Linked DNA regions of Pelodiscus sinensis. The protein of the gene in region 2 interacts with the protein of the main gene of each other region in a pairwise test. Links are inferred from orthologs where the notes say so. Each region holds a gene or a part of one and is shown on either strand. Other genes may lie near its edges. The genes, in order: ARPC3, WASL and RHOJ.

Evidence for each region.
Region 1: the proteins of WASL (region 2) and ARPC3 interact in binary tests that used the Homo sapiens proteins (3 or more experiments, as listed by UniProt). The two-hybrid records come from large-scale screens. The link is inferred for Pelodiscus sinensis from reciprocal best matches to the Homo sapiens genes WASL and ARPC3.
Region 3: the proteins of WASL (region 2) and RHOJ interact in binary tests that used the Homo sapiens proteins (3 or more experiments, as listed by UniProt). The two-hybrid records come from large-scale screens. The link is inferred for Pelodiscus sinensis from reciprocal best matches to the Homo sapiens genes WASL and RHOJ.

Annotation. Positions count from the first base shown.
Region 1 is NC_134725.1:32,222,083-32,229,031, reverse strand, and holds the start of ARPC3 (actin-related protein 2/3 complex subunit 3), read right to left. Parts: upstream 3,041-6,949; 5' UTR 2,911-3,040; coding exon 2,905-2,910; intron 1,480-2,904; coding exon 1,380-1,479; intron 1-1,379. UniProt on the Homo sapiens protein: Component of the Arp2/3 complex, a multiprotein complex that mediates actin polymerization upon stimulation by nucleation-promoting factor (NPF).
Region 2 is NC_134711.1:40,543,225-40,551,271, reverse strand, and holds the start of WASL (actin nucleation-promoting factor WASL), read right to left. Parts: upstream 3,055-8,047; 5' UTR 2,583-3,054; coding exon 2,472-2,582; intron 1,959-2,471; exon of another isoform or gene 1,703-1,958; intron 1-1,702. UniProt on the Homo sapiens protein: Regulates actin polymerization by stimulating the actin-nucleating activity of the Arp2/3 complex. Involved in various processes, such as mitosis and cytokinesis, via its role in the regulation of actin polymerization.
Region 3 is NC_134714.1:14,816,727-14,823,971, reverse strand, and holds the start of RHOJ (rho-related GTP-binding protein RhoJ), read right to left. Parts: upstream 3,029-7,245; 5' UTR 2,476-3,028; coding exon 2,298-2,475; intron 1-2,297.

The DNA.
Region 1 (6,949 bases), on a different chromosome or scaffold from region 2:
TGAAGCGGGTTTTACCCATGAAAGCTTAATGCCCAAATAAAACAGTTAGTCTTTAACATGTCACAGGAATTCTCGTTGTTTTTGCAGATACAGATTTATCACAGTTACCCTTTTGAACCTGACAATAGTGAATTTAGGCTGAATTAAAAACAAAAAACACACACACACACAAATCAAAAGATTACGGAATTTAAACTAGAACAAGGTCTTCTGGAGGCATCAAAGAGAAAACAAACCAAATGTGTTCATCACTGAAGACACACTGGAAAAATAGCACATTATTTATTGTGGTAGCACTCGGAAGCCCCAGTCAAGATCAGGACAAATGACTGATCACACATTGTTCATTCTGCTTGCATGTTATAGCCCTTCCCACTGTCCTTCATCTGTCCTGTCTGTTTAGACTGCCAGCTCTTCGGGACTGAATTTGGGATTTGTGTCTAGCACTATGGAGCCCTAATTTTGACTGGTCCCTAGTCACTACTGTAATAAACATGGATTAATAATAATGGCTCCATTCCACTAGATCCATGGTGTCCAACAAGACATGATTCAGAGTTTACATGCTAAGGCTGCAATCCCACCATTGGGTCTGCACAAGGAGACCTTTGCACTTCATGGAAAGCCAATTAAAATCAATGGGGCTCCATGTGAAACCATGTGGATTCAATTACAAGACTAGTGTCTTGGATTAAAAGTGACATACGAAGACTCAAGATGATAAAATGACTAACAAAAGCAAGGGTTACATACAGATTATTATTCTAAGGTGGATAGAACAACTCCCAAAGGGAGAAGGAGGAGAAACCAAGATAGAGTGAAAAGAAACAAAACAATTCAGAAGCAACAACACTACAGATAATTTTGTACAAGAGCTATAGAAAGGGGGTGACTATCACAAGACAGGACTGAGTAGAGTTTGGAGTCAGCTGTTGGTTCAAGGCACTGGCATAAATTTTAAACAGCAGTTGAGAAGGACACATTATACAAATTAGATCAGAGGATTCTTCTTCAGGAAAAAGCATTCAGAGGCTTGTATTGGGAAGGGTAAATGTTCCGGATAGATGGCACAGCAGAAGGCAAAAGAAACCCCCAATCCAACAGCATTAATAGCCATCTGAAAGTCAACTTCCTCTATTACCAGGAAGTACCCATTTCTAATCTGTCCCTTTTCTCCTCAGTTTGAAAACCATACACACACACACAAAATCAAAAGCCTCAAGTAGATACAGTTTATATAAAGTGTCCTATAACCATTTCCAGATCAGTGATATGAAATATTCATGAAAGAGAAGCAATTAGGACTGGATTTAAATGGACTGCAAAATAAATAAATGCAAATACAGATATAGTACTTATAAAGAGTGTTGTGAACCTACTTTCCCTTGGAGCTGGTCCTTTGAACTGACTTCTAATGGGTAACAAAGCCATGTTCCCAATTAACTTGGTATCGGAGTCCATTAAAGTGGAGTGATAAGCCTATAAACAAAAGAGGAAGTCTGACTGTGAGCAATAAAAAGAAAATAAGTAGTTTTCTCCCTTGAAAGAATAAAATTACACAAATGTCCCCCTCTAAATGATGGATGCACGGTTTGTCCAGTTAACAATGATCCAGCAACCACACCTTGTGGAAGTTCAGTGGTATTTGCTTACCTAGCTAATTAGGCCTTAGTAACATTTGGGGAGGTGGGGGGAGGACGACTCCTACTACGAAACTGCCATAGTCTAACTGGAGGCAATAATGGTGAATGCTATAACATAGAAGAGGTAGAAGTGTGTGCTTCCATCACCAGTTGTCTAACTCAGAGCAGATCTAAATAACTTGATGGCAAATATGTTCAGAACCTTTATCATATCTACTTTTCCGGTGCTTCAACAATGGCAATTAAAAAAAAAAGGTCAGTGTAGATACAGCTTAAGAATCACGTTCTGCTTTGGTGCTTAAATCTTTTCTTGACAATTGCAATATGAGCCAATGTTGTAGAAAGGAGGTTTATTTCAAAATATACATGCACTTAGAATATAAGATAAGTTACTTTAAAACACCAATGCTGATGGGACTTTTCTGTTTCTTTGTTTTGGGTTTTTTAAATATTTTCATATAAAAGTAATTTTCACCTATAATGCTCCTAGTTTATCCAATAAGGGAATATTCTTAATTTTGTAGGGGTTTAGTCAAACTGGAAAGGCCCAGCTGTTCCCTAAGTTAGGTGGTGGGCTCAGCAGGCCTTGAGCAAGGGGCAGTGATCATATAATTCCACTCTATTTCTTTATGATGCTAAGTAAGCAAGGACAACCGTGTTTTGCAACCTTACCAATGCTGTGTAAAAAAAAAAAAAAAAAAATCACACAAGATAAACTGAGAAGTTACAACGAAAAGGCCCCACCCTTTCATCTGCCCAGAGCCCCAATTAAATCAACAAAGAGCTGCCCATCTAGTCTAATTGTAAAATCAACAACCAGCTAACTTCGCGTCGACCCGCGCATATGAAGCAAAATCCTTTGTGGGGGACAATATCATGAATAGTGCCGTGCGGTTTGCAGAGGCGCTGACTATTGCCTTAAAAGGAAGTTCCCCCGTTTTGTTGGTAGAGGTGACATTTCCCACTGCAGCAGCTAGTTTCGCTCAGCTTCTTCCTATTTCTGAACAGAGAAAGAAACCCCAGAGCCGTTGTGATGTTTTCTACCCGATCCTTGAAGCCCCCCTGATGGGCTGCGGATTGCAAAACGAGCAGCAGCCAAGGGGCCCAAATGCTCAGCCCCGGGCCTAGCATCCATCCCCCGTAGCATTTCCTGCCCTTCCCTGGCTAGCAGCAGCCACAGTGCTCGCAGGGCAGCGGGGTGCAACCCAAGCACGCGCAAGGAGCCGGGGCCCTGTAGACCCGCAGGGTCTCTTTTCCTTACCGGCATTTTTTGTCGGTGGGGACGGTCGTTTCCCAGGAGGCAGAGAGCGCAGGAAGCCGCCTGAGTCAGCAATGCAGCAGCTTGCAGAGAGCCAGCCCTTCCTGTCCCACCCCAGGCGGCTGCAAGCAGGAAGTCCTGTGCGCGCAGGGCAGGAGCTGGCCAGCAGGGGGCGGCAGAGCGCTAGGAAGGCAGCGGCCGCGGAGCCTCTGCGGGTAGAGCGCTCGCAAGGGTCCCGGCCTCAGCTCCTGGGGGAGGATGTGGCGCGGTTCTTGCTTTCTAAATGCAGTGGGTCCAAGTCCTCCCTGATGTAACAAATGACAAGGCTGCAGATTAGGGATGTTAAATACCAGTTCATTGAATAGCCCAGTAACCTCATGAATTCTTATGGGTTACTTGACTATCCTATAGCCCCTGCCACGCTGCATGCTGCCTGGGTATCGGACACAGCAGCATGGGGTGCCTGGTGGGCGCCGGTTTGTGCGGGAAGCCAGTTTAAAACCCAGCTCCCCTTGAGGGCCTGTGCTGTTGACCTGTGCGCTGCCACCTCTGATAAAGAGGCAGTAGCATGGGGTGGGCAGAAGCCCCCATCTGGGGGTGGTCTGAGCTCCCAGATCATGTGCAAGCCAGAACTGAGCTGGGCTGCCAACCAGCCTGCTAAAATACTTACTGGCAAGTAGGGAGGAGGATGGAATGTGTTTAGTCTATAGCATTAACCTATAAGCTTTTGCTTATAGGTCAATGGGTTAATCAACTACACTTTTACAACCCTACTGCAGATCCCTGATTTCTGTTTGCGCTGCTCAAGAGGGATTTGTTATTGCCAGAGCAGGGGCCTACAAGTCTGGAAATGAACTGAGCCCACAACATAGAGAGTCAAAGCTGGCAACTGCACCAGTGCAAAGCACAGCACTCTGCCTCTCGCTGTGCTTTGCACTGTGCATCTAAGTTGGCTGCTGGGTGCTGATTGCTGAATTCAAAGTATAGGCAAGGTCTGTAGGCGCCAGGCCTGCATTCACTCCACACAGAAACAAGAAGTTCCCCTCAAAATCATTAGATAGGCAAAAAAAAAATTTTTTTTCAACTATCATGATTTTTTAGTCAATCTGGGTTTTGAGCCCAGAAGGTTCAGCTTTTCTCCACAGTTCTGGTGGACAGAAACTTAAATTTAAAAATAATGGAAGTTGGGATTCTTGCATAATCAATTGACTCCAGAAGCTGGGATTCTAAGAGAAACACCAAGTATCATGAAACCCATGATAAAAACCTGAGAGCTGGCTCCACTGCAGACACAAAAGCCCACTTGTGAGAATCTTAGTGCTCGATCAAGGCCTATAGCCTTGCCCAAATGCTTCATTTTTTCCTAATAGAATCCTACAGGGGAAAGATGCATCCATGGCACTTCCTACTTTACTGAGTAAAGGAATAAATGTGTTTTCTGTAGGATGTACTCACTTCAAACCAATGCAGGAACGGCACATTTTCAGGGTATTGTTCAAGACCAGTTTTTATAGAAAACATTTCAATTTTCTAGCAACCTTTTGTTTCCCTATCTTTATTTGTTCCCATTTGGATCATTCTGTGGGATTCTTATCCTGCTACCAATTACTATCTCCCTCCCCCCCTCCTTTCAAGTGCCTTTCGCCCCCTCCCTGCAATAATATCACCCCTTCAGAATATTTGAAAGGAATGCATTCTCCCTGAGACACACAGAATTTATTCCTTAAATACACACCACCATTACCTGTATTTGATATCAACTTAGATGGATTCCTTGCTTGAGAGCAGAGGGGAGTTCAACAACCAGAAAAATGTATTGTTTTATTTTATCATTCCAAGAAGACCCCCCCCCCCCCCACACACACAATTTAATTTGCCTTTTCAAAGATATAAAATACAGTCTTTGGCCAAAATGTTTTGTTGCTCCAAGTTTAACATTGTACAGGTAAGGCATTTGTTCAAAAAATAAAATAAATCTACTTCATGCCTCATCAAAAGTCTCTGTGGGTTTTCTGTGAACAATCATTTTTAAGATTAAAATTTATGAGAACTTTGTCAGGTGTTTACCTGTGATCAGCAGAAAAAGCTTAACCATATTATGAACATAAATATGATGTTGAATTAGATGATCTAATTATCTCCTAAGGAAATAGACAGAAAGCTCATAATTTGAACCATTTAGAACTCGAGAAGTAGATATTAAGACAGTCACAAGACATGATCTAAATGCAATTCTACATTAAATCATTAAACAATTATTTCTGTACCAATGACCATTTATTAAGCATTATTTGAATAATTATGATGTACAGTGTCAATAAATGCATCACTACAAAGAATAAAATTTAATAATACTCTCCTATTAAAAGCTAACATATTCCATAAGCTTATCAGTTAGATCCAAAAATAGACTTGGCATGTGTAACTTGTAATTGACATTTGGGGCCAAATCCTCCAAAAATACGACCACGTATCTTTATTCATGAGAAATCAGACGGACTGCTCCCTTATTTATGAAGTTACTCAAGGTTTTAGATGCATATAGGGTTTTATATATATACAAAAATACCCACAGTTTTTATGATATAAGTTTAATACAAATACCAATGAAATATGAATTCTCTCTCTCAAAAAAAATTAGACAGGATACATAGTGGCCTTATTTGATGCCAAATACTTGCTTGGACAATATTTCCTCTGGAGTTAGTTAAATTAGTAGATAGTGTAGTCAACCTTGTATAACTATTGGCAATTCTAATCTAATTCAGAAATGTTTTTCTTTCTTAGGAAGGCATCACTGTGTTTCACAATTTTCATCCACAGAAAAGTTATTTCAAGTAGCACAAGAGGATTTTATTTATTTTTGTCTTGTTCATGGAATCTTAGCTGGAGTAGGCTGCCTGAAAGCACATATCCTTATACTGAATGAAATCCTGCAACTCTTATGCCATGAGTACTCCCACCAAAGTCCACAAGAGTTTTGCTTCAAAGTACTGATTTGATTCTTAGCACATTAAAATAATAAAAGGAGCAACATATAATGAGAGCTCTTTGGTAATGTGTCACTGATTGTCAGTATATAGAAATGTGAGGGAGAGCACATGTACTTTAAAGAAAACCAAAACTTATTCAACTTTTCCTCCCTCAACTGAGTGTTTAAAATGCTCTCTTGGAAACATGAAAACCTTGGGTGAAACTATCAATAGCGCAACACCCTGTGTTAGTATTACATTCAGTCTTTATCAAATGCCTTTTACAAATGTCAGTCAATTTTCACTAGCTTGTCTTATTTTAGCTTGTATTGTATTTTAGCTTGTCTTATTTTATTTATTGCCTTATTTATATTCAAATGGGTCAAATATTTGAGTAAGGCATTTTACCACTACTGTTCTGAGTGATGAAATGCATGTTTATTTAAACCACACAGTGAAGTGACATGAAATATATATCAACATGAGTTTAGCTGCAATATTTACAAACTGTAGAGTCACAAATCAGTTTCACAAGTCATTTCAAACAACTGTCAAACCTTTATGCCACACCATATCTCTGGTCATTCTTTATATGCCACATGTTGTCCAGTGTGTAACAGAAAAGGAAAATAAATTACCCTCAAATCATGTTGTTGTATTTTCATGGTCCAGTATTTCATCATGAATCTCACACAGGTAGAAATGACATTTACCACTGTAAAGTTTCCTAGTTCCAACAGTAATAGGTTAAAAATCCAGTATTTCCAAGCTCTGACTTCTCTGCTATTAAGGGTTGTACTTCTTGCAAAGCAGTGTAATGATGGAGGAAAAGTTAAACCTCACACTCTGTTTTGTTAATTTTGAAGTGACAGCTCTTTGGAATCCTAGAAATAGTTCCTGGTGAAATAGATTAGTGGACAGAGTACAGATAAGGGAAGGGTGCACTTTATCACCTAGATATCCTTACCATTCTGTGTAGGGTGTATATAACTCTGGAGCAGTCATGTGACCTTCACATCAGGACACTTTTGATCACATCTAAGAGTGCCCCTTCAAAACATACCATGAAGAGTTCT
Region 2 (8,047 bases):
TTCCTAAAATCTTCAAACAAATTGAAAAAAACCCCCAAGATTCAGAATAGGCCACAAATATGCATAGAATCTAAGACAGTGGTGTCCAACCAGTTCTGAAGCAGTAGCCACTATTTTGGTTATTGCTATAGTGAAATAGCCACACTCAACCAGCCAAATAGCCACATGTGGCTACTGGCTAGTGTGTTGAACACCACATGTCTAAGAAAAGATAGGATAAATCCATTGTTTGGCCACCATGGTTTACAAGGGCAACCCAGAAGACCAGCCATCTGTAATGACATCCTGAGACAACCAAATAACTATGTGTTTGTTTCCTTGTCTATAAAATGCGAATAGTAGCATTTATCACTGGGGTTGGCTTAATTCATCAGTGTTTATAATGAATTCTGAGCGCCTCAGAGAAAGCATTATAGGAGAGCAAAATATTAATGATTACATTACCAAATCCTGTAACAATTGTTAGTTGGGCAGTAGAATGGCTTGCAAACCAAAAATTCTCCCAAGAAGTATCTGATTTATTGTGTTTTTAAAGAGCAATTCATATTTTAAGATAAGCACTTAAGTTTTCTTCTGTAATCGAATTAATCATATATGAATTCACTAGCATTATCATATCTTATTTCTAGACCTCTGAAACATGCATAGGCATAATTTACTATAGCGCGAGTCAATCAGTAGCTCAAGTAGTTGAGTGAAGCTGGCTCTAAATTTACCGTAAAAATGTTGTCTTTTCTCTACCAGTTCAGGCTTTATGACTATAGATTAGTTTGAGCCCCCTAACACCCAGAATGAGGTGATAAAATTATCTTAAAGTAACCAAATCACAGTAAGATAATTATATGTGGTCGGAGTTCATGAAAATATTGCATACTGTACTTCCTGTTCAATCTAAGAATTTCCCATACTTCTATTACAATTTAGAAATTATTCAGTTTGATCAAACCTCATTTAAAATGTGTGACCATTGTGACTTCTGCTGAAACTTGTAATTCAACACTTACTTTTAAACAGGATATCTTGCAAACAGGATATCTTGCACAATACAAACATATATACAATAAAATTATTATGTACCTATTACTGATGTTGTAGGCACATGACATACAAAGAATAGCATCTAGTCAATGTACCGATATTGTATCCTAGACACAATGTAGTTTATATCATATTAACATGGGCTGATTCTTTAAAAAAAGAACTTCAGAAATTATGGGGAGTATTCCATAACCCTGATTACGCTTTGGCAAACATATGAATTTCTTTCCATTTTTGCTGTCCCAAAGCAACTTACCCTTTACCTTTAAAATACAAGAGGTCATTTAGGAATCCTAAAACTAAGGTACTAGGACCAGGTCTATGAAAGCCTTTTAAAATCATTGCATTATATTTGTTTTCCTGCAAGGATGAATGCAGCAAGGGAATCAGTACATCTGCAAGTTTCAATCCACTGTTAAGGATAACAAACTCACATGGCTATAACAACCTAAAAACAAGTCAGACCCAGCTCTCCTAACCGTTTTCCTGCAGCTTTGTGAATTCTACTGATTTACTGCAGGTGCAATCTGCCCAGATTTGTTCAACCTTGTGAACGGATTAAACTTTTCTACCGGATGCTGCAATCGCGCTATAGTTGACTACTTCCCATAGTAAGTCATAGTTTACCTGCACTGCATACTGGACAAGCCCTGGTCACACATACCTACAGAAGTGCTCAGCAGCAGGTACAGGGAGAAGGGAGGAGGAACAGAGATAACAACAGCATTCCGAGATCAGCCAGGGGCTAGCTGACAGAGCAGGTCTGGGCCGACTTGCCCCATCCAGGCCAATAGAGAGCAGTGTAATTAGTACCCCTGCCCTCTAACAACATTCCCAGTTCCTCCGCAGCTGAAGTCCTTCAATCAGGCCCAACTCCCGAGCCCTCCAGAACCAGCAGGCGTAGACACTGGCTCCATTGCGCATGGCAGCATCCCAGGAGCCAACGGGGGGGAGAGGGCGAGGCCTAGCGGAGAATTTCGGGGGAAGCGAGCCCACCGTGCTGCGCTCGGGGAAGCAGCAGCGGCATTTCCTGCTTCAGGAGCCCCGGGCGAGGCAAGGGGCCCCCAGTCACCTGCGCTCAGCACCTCCGCAGCGCAAGAGCGCTAGGACGGAGGCGGGGAGCGCAGGGGCGGCGGCTGCCCTCTCCCGAGCTTCATTCATTGCTCACGCCCCTTCCCCCTGCGAAACTCCCAGCCGCCCAGGGAGCGAGCTGTCCCGGCGCCCCCGCGGGGCAGCTCCCTGGGCCACGGGGGGCACCGCAGCTGCCAGCGCCCCCAGGGAAAGACCTGAGAAGGGAACTGCCCCCCGCCCAGCACAGGGAACCCACCGGAGCGGGCCTCCCCAGCCCTAGGCCCCCCGCGCTGCGCCGGGCTCCTCCCCGGGGCCGCGGCCGCTGCCCGGGCCGCTCCCGCCGCGCTCCGCCCGGGGCTCACCACGCATTTCTTGCCCAGGAAGCCGAAGAGGCTCTCGTTCTCCTGCGGCGTGAGGAGCAGCGAGCCCACGTTGCTGACCCTCCGCGGGGGCGGCTGCTGGTTGCTGCTCATGGCCGGGGCCGGCTCCCGGGGCGCCCTCGCCTCCCGCAACTCGCCGTCCGCCTCCCCTGGCCCAGCGGCCTCACAGCGGCTGCATAGCGGGGCCTCCTCCTCTCGTCTGGGGGCAGCTGGCGGCGCCCGGCAGCCCAGGGACTGGGCGAGGTGGCACCGGCTCCCGCTGCCCGCCGGCCGATCGCCCCCACCCCTCGGACCAGCACTAAACTTCCAACTTCTCCCCGGCTCCCACGGCCGCACAATCCAACATGGCAGCGGGGGCGGGCGAGACCACACGGCACCGGAGCCAGAGGGGAGGCCGGGACTTGCGCCGCCGCTGCTGCCGCCACACGCTGAGGGGACCCTCCCCGCGCTCCGGAGCAGGGCCCCGCCTGCTGCCCCTGTGCTGGGCCGCGCTTGGCTGACTGGGAGCTGGTGCCGCTAGTGAGCAGCGTCGCCCTCGCCTTTCCCTTAAATACCTGCCCCGCTTGGTCCGACCTGTTCTCCCAGTTCGCCGGGCGGGAGCGCCCGGGTGCTGCTGGGCTCCTGCCGCGGGGGGCAAGGAGCTTGCAGGGCTGCAAATGTGCCCCGCTGGGGAAAGGGGAGCCCTGGGGTCTGCTAATGCCTGGGTGCGGGCACAGATGTCGGCTGGGAGGGGGAGCCCTGAGTTGTGAGTGGCTTGGGGAGTAGAGGCAGCAGGGGTTGGGGGAAGAGCCTGCGTAGGGGACTTGCCTTGTGTGAGGATGTGGAGCCTAGGTTGCAAATGGCTTAGGGCCTGAGCTGCTAATGGAGCTCTGTACGAGCTCTCAGCGATTGACGAGCATTAATCAGCAATGTGACTGTCACAAGCGACATTCACACACAGGTTAGGGACCTGATTTAGCAGCTCCCTCTCAAATCAGCGAGCGTTGGGGATGTGCAGCATCCCCGTGTCTGATCCTGTTCCCAGTGATGTGAATGGCACACAAAACAACAAAACCCAACTTACAAGATCAAGGGGGAAAAATTGATCTGTAAGACCCATTCAAATTAACTGGAACATGATTGGGTCAAGAGCTATCCACTAAAAAAAAAAATCATTGATACATTTTCTTAGTTATAGCCAATTTTCACTGTAATTGATGTACGACTTTTCAATGAGTTTTTATTTTATGGAGTATTTGAAGGGGTATTGGTTTTCTCTGAAAGGGAGAAAAGGAACAATTAGAAGTAAAACTGAATTCAGGGTAATTTTGTAATTAACTTAAAAATCCTATTTTTTTCATTGTAGGAAAAAAATCTCTTTTGGAGTATATCTGGGCTGGCAAAATTTCCAGCTAATTTAATTTTCCAAACCAAAGTTGCAGTGTGGGTAAAACGGCTTTTTCATGGGGAATGTATACAACCCTAATGGGGGGAACTGCAGTGTTACACAAATTGTGTATTTTATTTCAATCTAATTTCTAAGTAAAGCACTGTTCCGCAACATGCCTTAGCTCTCATGGAACGAGGGTTACAGGGATGCCAGAATAGCTCACCTGTTATTTCAAAATTTATTTAGAAATAACAGGTGTGTTTAAATACATGGAATAGCTATTTGGAGATACTTCCGGTATCCTGAAATAATGCCACTGTCTAGATGTAGCCTTAGTGCGCTGAGGCTATTACAACTTCATAATAAATCACATGCCTCTGGAGAGCAGGAACAGATACACAAAATCTAATTTTATAAGTTGGACTTTGGTCATCTCTCCCTGTAGCAGCGGTGGTAAAATGTAGGCATTAGACAGCAATAGTGCTTCTTCAGAGCAATTCTTAGAGCCCGTGACTGCAAAAGGGAAACAGTGAAGCCTCCGTCAGGGTTGAGGTGAAAACAGGTGTCAGTGAGAGCCCTTGGCTAGAATTCTTTCAGCATTTTAAAGGGAATATTGACCTAGGCCTTGATTGTGAGAGAGCAATTTATTTAAAGAAGGGAAAACAACTTAGGTTCTGATCCTTCAAAGACTAACTAGCATCTGAAAGCCTATGGTTTCTCTATGGATGTGGCATTTAGGCCAAGTACTCCACCCTTTGTGCAGCCTTCTGGATTAGTCTTCTAAGAAGCATCCACATCATTGGAGGTTTTTGAGAAAAAACTGGACAAACACCTTTCAGGGATGATCTAGGTTTACTTGGGCCTTGTAGGGAATAATTCTGGACAACTCTGCATGCAGGTAAAAACAAGTAGAGGATTTATTACACATAGTTGGTGGAGTGTCCCTCAGCTTTTAGGCTGGTGAACACTGGTTAAACAAAACATTACAATAGATTATATAGGCGGCAGATGGACGGAGGAGAAGCAATTTGATAGGGTCTGGGAGCAAGACGGAATGAGCACGTAAGCCAATCAACTACAAAGATTACACAGCAGGCTCCACCCATCGCCAATTAAACATCTTATCAATAATGCAAGTAGTTATTCCTAACAAGCTAAAGAAGCCAACATAAACAAAACAGACGTTATTGGTAATTTTGTCTGCTGAAATGATGATGTGTCTACTGCGGGGTGATACTGCCTTGCATTGGCGTAGTCCTTGGGTTTCAGGCTTATTATCTAGGGTTAAAGGAAGACAGTGAGAACAGTTTCCACAAAAGTTGTTTTGGTACCAGCCAGCCTCTAATCTGAGTGAGGCCCTCTTGGAATGTGGTTGCCAGGGCGACCAAGGTTATGTTAACTGCTTGTGCTGTGTGTTCCCAGTCTTGTCTCAAATTTGGGATTGGATAGGGGTTCTTAGCAAAATACCATGGACTGCCTCAGTTTACGCCTACAGCCCTGTCTTAATGAAGGGAACTGCACTCGATGACTTCTCACAATCTGTTCCAGCCTTACATTTCAATGATTCTATGAATCTGATTATTAATCCCCACAAAATCTTTGATGACTTGTAATTGGTTGTGCATTAAAGGTGTATTTTACTTGAAATAATAAATAAAATTAAAGAAAACATACATAGAGAATAGAGATGGAAAAGCCTGTTTAATATTAGTCCACTGCAATGCATTGTCTCATAGATGGAGCCCTACCAAATGTACACAATGAAAAATACATCATGGACCATGAAAACTGGTTTTCTCTGTGAAATCTGGTATTGTATGTACTTTTCCCATATATGGCTACGTCTACATTGGCCCCTTTTCCGGAAGGGGCATGGTAATTTTTGAAATCGCAATAGGGAAATGCGCAGGGGATTTAAATATCCCCCGCGGCATTTAAATAAAAATGTCCGCCTCTTTTTTCCGGCTTTTAGAAAAGCCGGAAAAGAGCGTCTACACTGGCCCCGATCCTCCGGAAAAAGCGCCCTTTTCCGGAGGATCTTATTCCTACTTTGAAGTACTTTGAAGTAGGAATAAGATCCTCCGGAAAAGGGCGCTTTTTCCGGAGGATCGGGGCCAGTGTAGACGCTCTTTTCCGGCTTTTCTAAAAGCCGGAAAAAAGAGGCGGACATTTTTATTTAAATGCCGCGGGGGATATTTAAATCCCCCGCGCATTTCCCTATTGCGATTTCAAAAATTACCATGCCCCTTCCGGAAAAGGGGCCAATGTAGACGAGCCCATATAGTATGGGGTAAAAGTATATAAAAATGCCCAGCTGTTCTCAAAACTGGGGGTCCTGATCCAAAAGGGGGTTGAAAGGCTATTTCTAGGAGGGCACACAATTGCCCCCCTTCTGTGTTGATGGAAGCACTACTTTCAGAGCTGGGACACTGCTCTCTGGTCAACCAGCTCTGAAGGTGGCGCAGAACTAAGGGCGGCTATACAATGACCTGCCTACAATAGCTTTGCAGTACCCTTTTGGAAATGGACCTCCAATATGAGAAACGCCGAGTCTTAAGGACTTTACATGTTATATTTTGCCATTTTAAAGATATACATGTTTCTTACAGCAATTTAAGATTTAAATATCTGAAATTGTGAAATTAAAAGATTTTTAAAATGTTAAATCCATGACATTTATTAAAATAGACCAGGAATTTGACAGGGCTCTTCTTATAAAATATTTAAAATGCTTTGTCAAGTCTGTCTTTAATGGCCAAGTGACTTCCATTACCTTGCTTTGGAAACTCATTTAGGATTTTTTTTTTATTCAACCAAATTTCCCTTCACTTAATGTTTTCACTTTAATGATAAAACAACAAGGAGTCCTGTAGCACCTTATAGACTAACAGATGTATTGGAGCATAAACATCCATGGGCAAAGACCCACTTCATCAGATGAATGTCACATGCATCTGACAAAGTGGGTCTTTGCCCATGAAAGCTTATGCTCCAATACATCTGTTAGTCTATAAGGTGTGCTACAGGACTCCTTGTCGCTTTTGCAGATCCAGACTAACACGGCTACCCCTCTGATATCTAATGATAAAGTGTATGTTATCAAAGTGTGTGAAAGTCCTAAAGAACAGTGCCATTTTTTTAAAGAAAGAATGCAAGGTGATTGCTGCATGTGGCAGAGTAACGTTCTATTTTTTCCATCAGGCCAAGAGAAAAATCATTTGGCCACAAGTACAAATGAAACCAAAGTCCAATGCAGATCTTAATATAAAAGTATTGTGGTTCAGATCTCACATTTTCAGATCTCAGAAAAGATAAAGTCTTAAGGTGCATCTACACAGCACCCTAATCTCGAAGTAAGATACTCAATTTGCGCTACGCAAATTGCATATCTTATTTCAATTCTATTTTGAAATGGCTTATTTTGAAATTTGGTGTGTCTACAGAGTGCCAAATTTCTAAATAACATGCTATTTTCAGCTATTCCACATCCCTCGTGCAACAAGAGTTACCAGGATGGTGAAATAGTATGTCTGTTATTTAGAAAAATATTTTGAAATAATGGGAGGCTTGTGTAGATGTGGGGTAGCTATTTCAGAATACCTCAAGTATCCCAAAATAGCTGTGCAGTGTAGATGTAGTCTAAGTGACACAGCATATCAAGAGAAAGAACATCACAGTTGCTACCATATAAATAAGATTGGGTGAGACTAGAAGTGAAAGTGTATGATGATTGTAGCCAGATCAAAAAAGAGAACATCAACAAGATAATAAGAAAATGGGAGTGTGTAAAGGATACCATCTTTCCCTCATTGTCCTTGTGGAGTGTGTTACTCCATTTCCACAATAACCAATTGTGGTAACCAAGAAAAAACTCCAGTTGTGGTTGACGGTAGGGTTTGAGCTGTGACAACAAGCACTTCTCTTTTTAAGAAAACAGTATCCTTTTTCCCCCAAGAAAGAATTTGTCTGACAGAAATAGTTGTTTAAATTTCTATTGAATCAATAAGGAATAGATGTGTATATAGTTAGTTTACTGTAAGGAGATTGACTCATTTACTCTCTGGATACTGAAGAAATGCCAGTTTGTTGCAGTAGCAACTCTGAAGCATCTACAATGTTATTATTCCATTCAGATATAATCACTTTATTCTTTATCCTACAGACTCTTTCTTTCTTTTTCTTTCAAATA
Region 3 (7,245 bases), on a different chromosome or scaffold from region 2:
GAATTCCTTTCCTACACACACGTTGCCTGCCTCTATTTGCATCAATAATATGAATACCTTTCCCACATCTGCAGCCCACATGAACAAAGGCTAGAAAGTAGATAGGGCAAGTTAGCATAATTGTGATCAGATGCTTTTGATGGTTAACAGCATTTGCTCAGTGACAACTGTGTTATTAAGCAATTCCCAGTTCTGAGCTAGGCAGAACAGTATCCTGGAAGATAACAGTGATCCCAGTGCAAAAGTGATTCTTAGATCAGAATAGGTTCCCCTGACTCTCCTGCTCTTTTACTCCAAGAGAAAGAAGGAAATCAGTAAATAATCTGACGTTCCCAGTCAGGCTGTGACACTGACCCGGTGAGACGGGAGGAACACTGCTAACACAACACTGGTATTAATAAAGCTGGTCAAAACATTTTGGGAGAACGTGTTGAATTTGATGACATTTTTGACAGGAAGTCTAAATGAATCATTTCAACATTCGTGGTTGGATAATGTCAAAATGTTTTGTTCAAACATTATTGTTTTGATTCTGTTTTGAAGTATAGGTTATATTAGAATTTTAATGTTAAATTGTATCAAATGTATTGTATTATATTTAATTCTTTGATAGTGTCAAACTGCTGAACTATCAACCTCCATCCCCCCTTTTTTAATACTGTTGCATGGAACATTTCAACATTTTGCTTTTCATGCTGATTTGGAACAAAGACAGATTTCAAAATGCTGGAATTTCCCCTGGAATAGAAATTTTGTTTTCTGACTACCTCTAGTTTTTAATCACACCAATCAGGCAGAGTTTGTCCCACAATAGTACAATAATATCCAAAGACTCAAAACAATCTTTTTAGCTTTCTGGGCTTTCTCCTAAAAATCATTCTTCCTTATACTACTTGCTTTTAACGTTTCAAAATTTCAATAAAATAATTGGAGACAATCTCAGAAACCTAAGTCTTCAGTCCCTGCAAATACATTTGTAAAATTGTCATTTAAATGGGAATATATATATTGTTTCACACATTATCTTTATTAAATTTTTACTCCTATTTCTGTTTTGTGTAAACAGGTTTTTTTAAAATGGGAATTTAAAACAAATGGGTGAGATGGTAGAGAAAAGACATTGTTGTTAACATCTAGAGACAAAGCTACACACATTTATGGAGAAATAAGGGTTTCACATTACCTCATATCAAACTCAGCATTTACAGTTTTCTTTTTTGGCCATGTCTCTCTGCTAAACCTGACATGAAGCCAAGGTGAAAGCTGAGATTTTCCCATTACAGAATACCAAATCTATGATAAGCCATGCCATGAAAATCCAGTTTAGGAGAAACAGAAAACAAAAAGCAAACAAAATTGCTGCAAGATCAGTGATAAGTTTTGTATAACTTACAAAATCTGTTTTTTTAGGGATCTTATAAATAAAAAAATAGGATCAGTAGCGTAACATGATGAAGACAACCAATTTCTTGCATTAGGAAAACTAAAGCAACATTAAAGACTGTTTTCAGCCTGTTGCACAGTACACATGGTAAATTCTGAAGCACCTAAAAAAGTTGCAAGGAGTTGCTACAGCAGAAGTGGCCTGTGAATACTGTACCTAAACCGTGATCTTCTTAAGATATGTTTTTCATTTTGCCCTGTGATACAATCAAGATCAGTTATGATCTTTGCTATGTTCTGTGAATGATTGTTCTTTTTTTTTTTCATTAAGACAAGTGCATTCATCATTAAGCATTAAAACCAGTGCTGCTTTGCTCTACTATTAACTACTCTAATACTCTGATATTAACTACTATTAATCATAAATGCCAATACAACAAAGTGACCTTCATTCCGGCAGCACTAGGTGAGGTGTCACTGCTTTTCTCAAAGATTAGTTCATAGAGAGGATCTCAGTATTGCAACTTCTGAATCACTTGCCACACAAGGAAAAAGATGACTGACAAAATGCACGTTAGAGTCAGACAGACTGAAGTGGGCAGAGTTCAGCTCGTAACTTCAAAACAAGCCTGGCAAATAACTATAGAAACACTGAATTATAGCCACTGCCTTTAAAGCCAGGGGAGGTTACTTAAAGTTGTGTTTCTAATTCTGCATATTTGCCAAAAAAATAAAATGGGAAACAAATAACAAATCCTTCAGTGCCCTCCTTGAATGTGCTGCCCTCTACTCTGCCTGGCTGCCTTCCAAACCTGACTCATGTTCTCGGGCTAGTAGTCCCTTGACATCTCCTTTGCCCTCCGTCTCCCTTCCCTTTCCCTCTGAAGTTTTCTTTGTAAAAACCACTTCCTTACCTGCATAATGGTCAAATACGGTAGGCACATACTCCTCTGGGAAGGCATCATTAGCATAACTCATCAGCAAACAGGTTTTCCCCACTGCACCATCCCCAACCACCACGCACTTTAACATCTTCTTCACGTTATTGCTGCTGCATTCGGTGCTGGTGTCATCTTCCTCCTTACAGTTCATTCTTGCGGCACTGCTGCTGGTCCCAGGACTTCCAAGTGCACATGAAGGAAAAATGAAGTGCAATTGTATTCACTCTTCCTGAGTTTCGGAGGCTCTCCACCTCAGGAAATCATACTGTCTCCAGGCTGTTCCAGCTGCCTCTAACAATTACCGTATCAGTAAAGAGAAGCATTGAGGTAAATAAATGATACATCTATTAAAAATTCAAGAAAAGGATTGTCCTTTCTTGTGAGCTGGAGTCAGGAAATACTCATCCTGACAGAGAGACCTCTGTTTATTGCAACTTTAAAAATATCAGCAGTCAGAGGCGTTGATTCTCTTCTCCCCTTCTCCAGTTTGGCCAGAGGATTCCGGTATTCCTGCTAAATCCACTCCATTTTCCATTTCATTTCTAACATGGAGGAAAGCTGGAGGTTTTTAATGGAGTTTTTCCTTTCTTTCCTCAGCTTGCTGTGTGTCAGGAAATCATGGGTTTCCTGCTGAATTCCATATTAGGATCAGTGGGCTTGTGAAGGGCTGCAAACAATAGGAGCTCTGTGTGCGTTTGTACTTTAGAGGAACTATGCCAGGACATAGAGTAAGAAAAACACTAGAGGTCTCACTGCAGGCTAAAGTTGTTAGGCTTCCTGTTTCATCTAAAGCACTGTTCTCTGGGCTGGCTGAGATGAGGCTGGTGTTAGCTCATAGATACGTAGAGGATTTGAATGGGGAACATTGTGAAAAATAGGGATTCAGGTTTAAATGAATAAGCAGGGAATGTCAGGGGTTCGTTCTGTAAGGGAACCGGCCTGTAAAATGTGCAGTACTGTCCATCTTAGGGGTTTTGGCTGCCACACATTGCTGTAGCACCCTGGGATGTGCTTTTTCTTTTGAGGGTGTTGGTAGATGGGAGTAGAATGGAACCCAAATGCTCTCCTTTGTAAGTACCTCTTTAACAATTTGGGTACAGTAATAAATCAGGCTTATCAAGCCAGGAACGAAGACATTCTCCTCCCTGTCCCCTGCCCAACAAACAAATGAGACTTTTTCAGGTATAGATGTGTGAGCACGGCAGAGAAGAGAGCCGATGGAGAATTCAGAACGACAGCTGTTAAAAGGTGAAGGCTACAGGGCAAAGCTACAGAACAGTCTGTGTAAAACCAGTTAAAAGGCATTGCTTTTATTCCCTAAAGCCCGAGCCATCTGTGTTCCTGTGAGACACACAGTTCTGCTGTAGTATTTCATATAGTTCTGAGCCTCCTTTTTAGTTTTACTGTAAATCTGTACCAAAGATCTCACCGTGGGTACACACTTGGGGTACGTCTAGACTACAGGCTTTTGTTGACAGAACTTTTGTCAACAGATACTGTCAACAAAGCTTCTGTCGACAAAGAGTCTAGACTACATCCAGTTCTGTAGACAAAGCAAGCTGCTTTGTCGACATGGCAGTGTAGACGCAAAGGACAGTTTAGATGCAATAATGCCTTCTGTCAACAGAACTCTGTTGACAAAAGGCGTTATTCCTCGTAAAATGAGATTTACCAGTGTCGACAAAACTGCTGAGTTCTGTCAATGTTATGTCGACAGAACTCAGTGGTAGTGTAGATGCAGGTTTAGTTTTGTCGACAAAACCCTGTAGTCTAGACACACCCTTAGGGTCGAACCTTACTCTTTATTCCTGCAATCTCCAGCAGAGTCACCCGAACAGCCCCTTGCTCATATCAGCCGTTCTCTTCCCTGGGCATTCCAGTGCATGCTGCGTCCTTTGCCTTACTCAGATTCTAAAGCCTCCAAGTGGGGAAACAGAGAAATCTACCATGAGATAAGAAATGGCAAGGTGCGACGGATGCACTGCTTAGCTCCCAGCTGCCCAGAAACAACAGTCTGCAGTCCCATAGTGTTGGATGGGTTGGGCTCAGAGAGAGAGAGAGAGACCCTTCCCTCCCCAAGCAGTAAAGATCAACAGGGTCATCTTGGCCACATAACTGTAAGTCACACCGCACTGATGTAATGAAGCAGGTGTAGCAGAGACCCCCAGAGACACCACTCCTTAAAGGCCCAATCCAAAGCCTCTAAAAGTCAATGGGAGTCTTCCCTGAAGCAAGCCCTCGCTTCATTCCCACGGATCCTGCCATCTGTGCTAGCCAGCGCGCCAAGTGGGTCTCCACCGTTTGCCTTTAAACCCTCCTCTGGGTTTTGCTTATGAAGAACATTTGATCCATGGTGACCCCTGCTCCTCCTTTCGCTCCCTCGTAGGGAGGCTGAACTAAATACAAAGCATTGGGCCATCTGCCACCGAGCTGTGCTCATAATAACAGGGATTCTGGAGAGGCTCCTGAGCCTGCCTCTCCTTGCCCAGTGTCCTGGCAATTGTGAGAGTGGGGAATGGGCAGGACAAGACCCACAGTATCTGATTCCTCGTTTTACATGGGCAAAGTTATCCAGTTTCCTAGTGATTTCAGTGAAAGGTTTAAGCAGCTCTATTCCCATCCCCTGCTGCTGCCTCTTTCCTTCCTTTAAAGCAGAGCTAATCAACATGCGGCCCGCTTGTTTGTGGCCCATGGTGCCATTTGGGTTTACACGGAGCTCAACATGTGCCTGCGGGTGGAAGCGAAAACAAAAAAGTAGTCAATATAATGGTCTTCTGTTGATATGTGTTTTAGTAGTTAAATTCCTGGACTGTCATTGCTCATTAAAAGTGCTGACATCGGGTAAATATTGCATTTTATGAATATCAGCAGAACTGACTTAAATGGGGCCTGCGTGTCGTACAGTCTTGCCTTAATCTTTGATACATGCCCATTGATGTGAAATAAGCTATTTGCATATATAGTTGCATATATATGCAACCGCACTTAAGTTGCAGACTTGGGCATGTGCTGTGAGTATCATTGTGGCCCCTGGGGCTTCCAAAGTTGAGTAGCCCTGCTTTAAAGGGACCCTCAAAATTGGCCTTTTGTTGGTGGTTTGGGAAACATTTGGGAGGAATCTGTTTTAATTTAGACCTGCCAATAAAAGGAGCTAAACCCCTCTCTCTTTTGCCTTGGCGGCAGCTATTAAAGTGCAGTACTCACTTTTGGCCATGATCTTAAAGACCAGCTAATGACTCTCCTTGAAGAGGCCAACACGATGATTTATGAGATTAGCTTTAAAGTGAGCAAGGCTGACATCTTGCCCATAAATCTCTTTAATTCAGCACTGTAATTTTTCTTTACAAACATAAACAATGTGAATAGACTAGCTTAGCAGATTTGCCCCACAAAAAACCCCTATAAAGGTCTGTACCTGGACTAAAAGCATATGTTTTCTTTAACGTGGGTTGGCCCCCATTCACAAAGGCCAGATGAAAATGTGGTTTAGTTGCAACCAAGTTTAATAACAGTTATTGTACGTTTCTTTTGGCTGCATAGCTAGAGCCATAATTAACCCTTGTACTGCTCTGCGGATGAATCTTTTACATCTGTGGGGATGGCGCTTACTTTGCAGTATGGATTAATAGCCCGGTACTGCTCAACTTGAGCAAAGTTTGTGGCCGTACGAGTTGTTTTCTATAACAGGTTGCTGCCCCTCTGACGAGTCTCTTAGAATTCTGCTGCAGGGGAGGGTGAGCAGTTGAGCGGTTGCTCTCACATGTTGCTGAATGTCTTTCTTGCCTTCAGTGCTGGGTAATGGGTGTTTCTTCAGAACTTTCGATTTATTAATCGGCAGATTGGAATTGTCAGTGGTGTAGGTACACTGAAGCCTTCTGCTGCCTTTGAAAGCTCCCGAGGCTACCTCTGCACAGCAGAGCTGTGTGAGCATTCTGGTTTGGAAAATATGATGGTGTTAGTGATGGGCATGGCTTGAAAGAGCGAGAAGTTTAAGTTTGAATCCATAGGTTTCCTGCAATTCTCTAAGGGTACATCTAGATTACAAGCCTCTTTCGAAAGAGAGCATCTAGACAGCAACCAGTACTTTCACAAAAGAGAGCCGCTTTTTCGAAAGACAGCACCAAGGCAGTCTGGATGCTCTCTTTTGAAAAAGCACAGTTTGTGTTCAATAATGCCTTTTTTTGAAAGAGCACTTTTGAAAAAAGGCGTTATTCCTCGTAAAATGAGGTTTTCTGCAGTTGAAAAAACTGACTCTTCTTTCAATTTAATTTCAAAAAAAATGTGGCAGCAGTCTAGATTCAGGTGAAGTTTTTTTTAAAAAAAAAAAAAAGGCCACTTTTTTTTTTAAAAAAACCCTGTAGTCTAGACACACCTTAACCTTCTCTAATCTGGATATCAGGTTTGAATTTTTCAAGTTCTTTTCTATGAAATTCCAGGTGCTTCCTAATTTGCCAGTAATTCACTAATACTGGAAGGACAGCTTAGTTCCCTCAATATTGCTGTACCTCCACTTCCAGCCAAAGTCTTAAAGAGATGCAGAGTGTGAAAATTCAAAAGACCTAAAGAAAAAGTTAACCCACTTCCTCTGAACCTCCAGAAAGGCTTGGTGAGCATTTTGGGTGGAGACTGCAGTCTCCTCATCCACCAGTTTGCCCATCACTGGGTTTTCCAAGGGGCTAGCAAAGGGCCACAGCCTCAAGTGGGGAAGCTGAGCCAAGCCAATGGAGGCAGTTAGTGGGGGTGGAGGGAAGCTGTCACCTGAGGCAGCTAGCCAGCAGTTTATAGTCAAAGTAGCTGTGTTCCTGGTGGCGCACCTGCATTGGCTCACTGAGGAACAGAGGGGCTACAAGCAGTAGGCCTAATCCTCTGAGCTACTAAGTTCTTCCAACTCCCTCTTGTTCACCTGCATGGGCACTTCCAT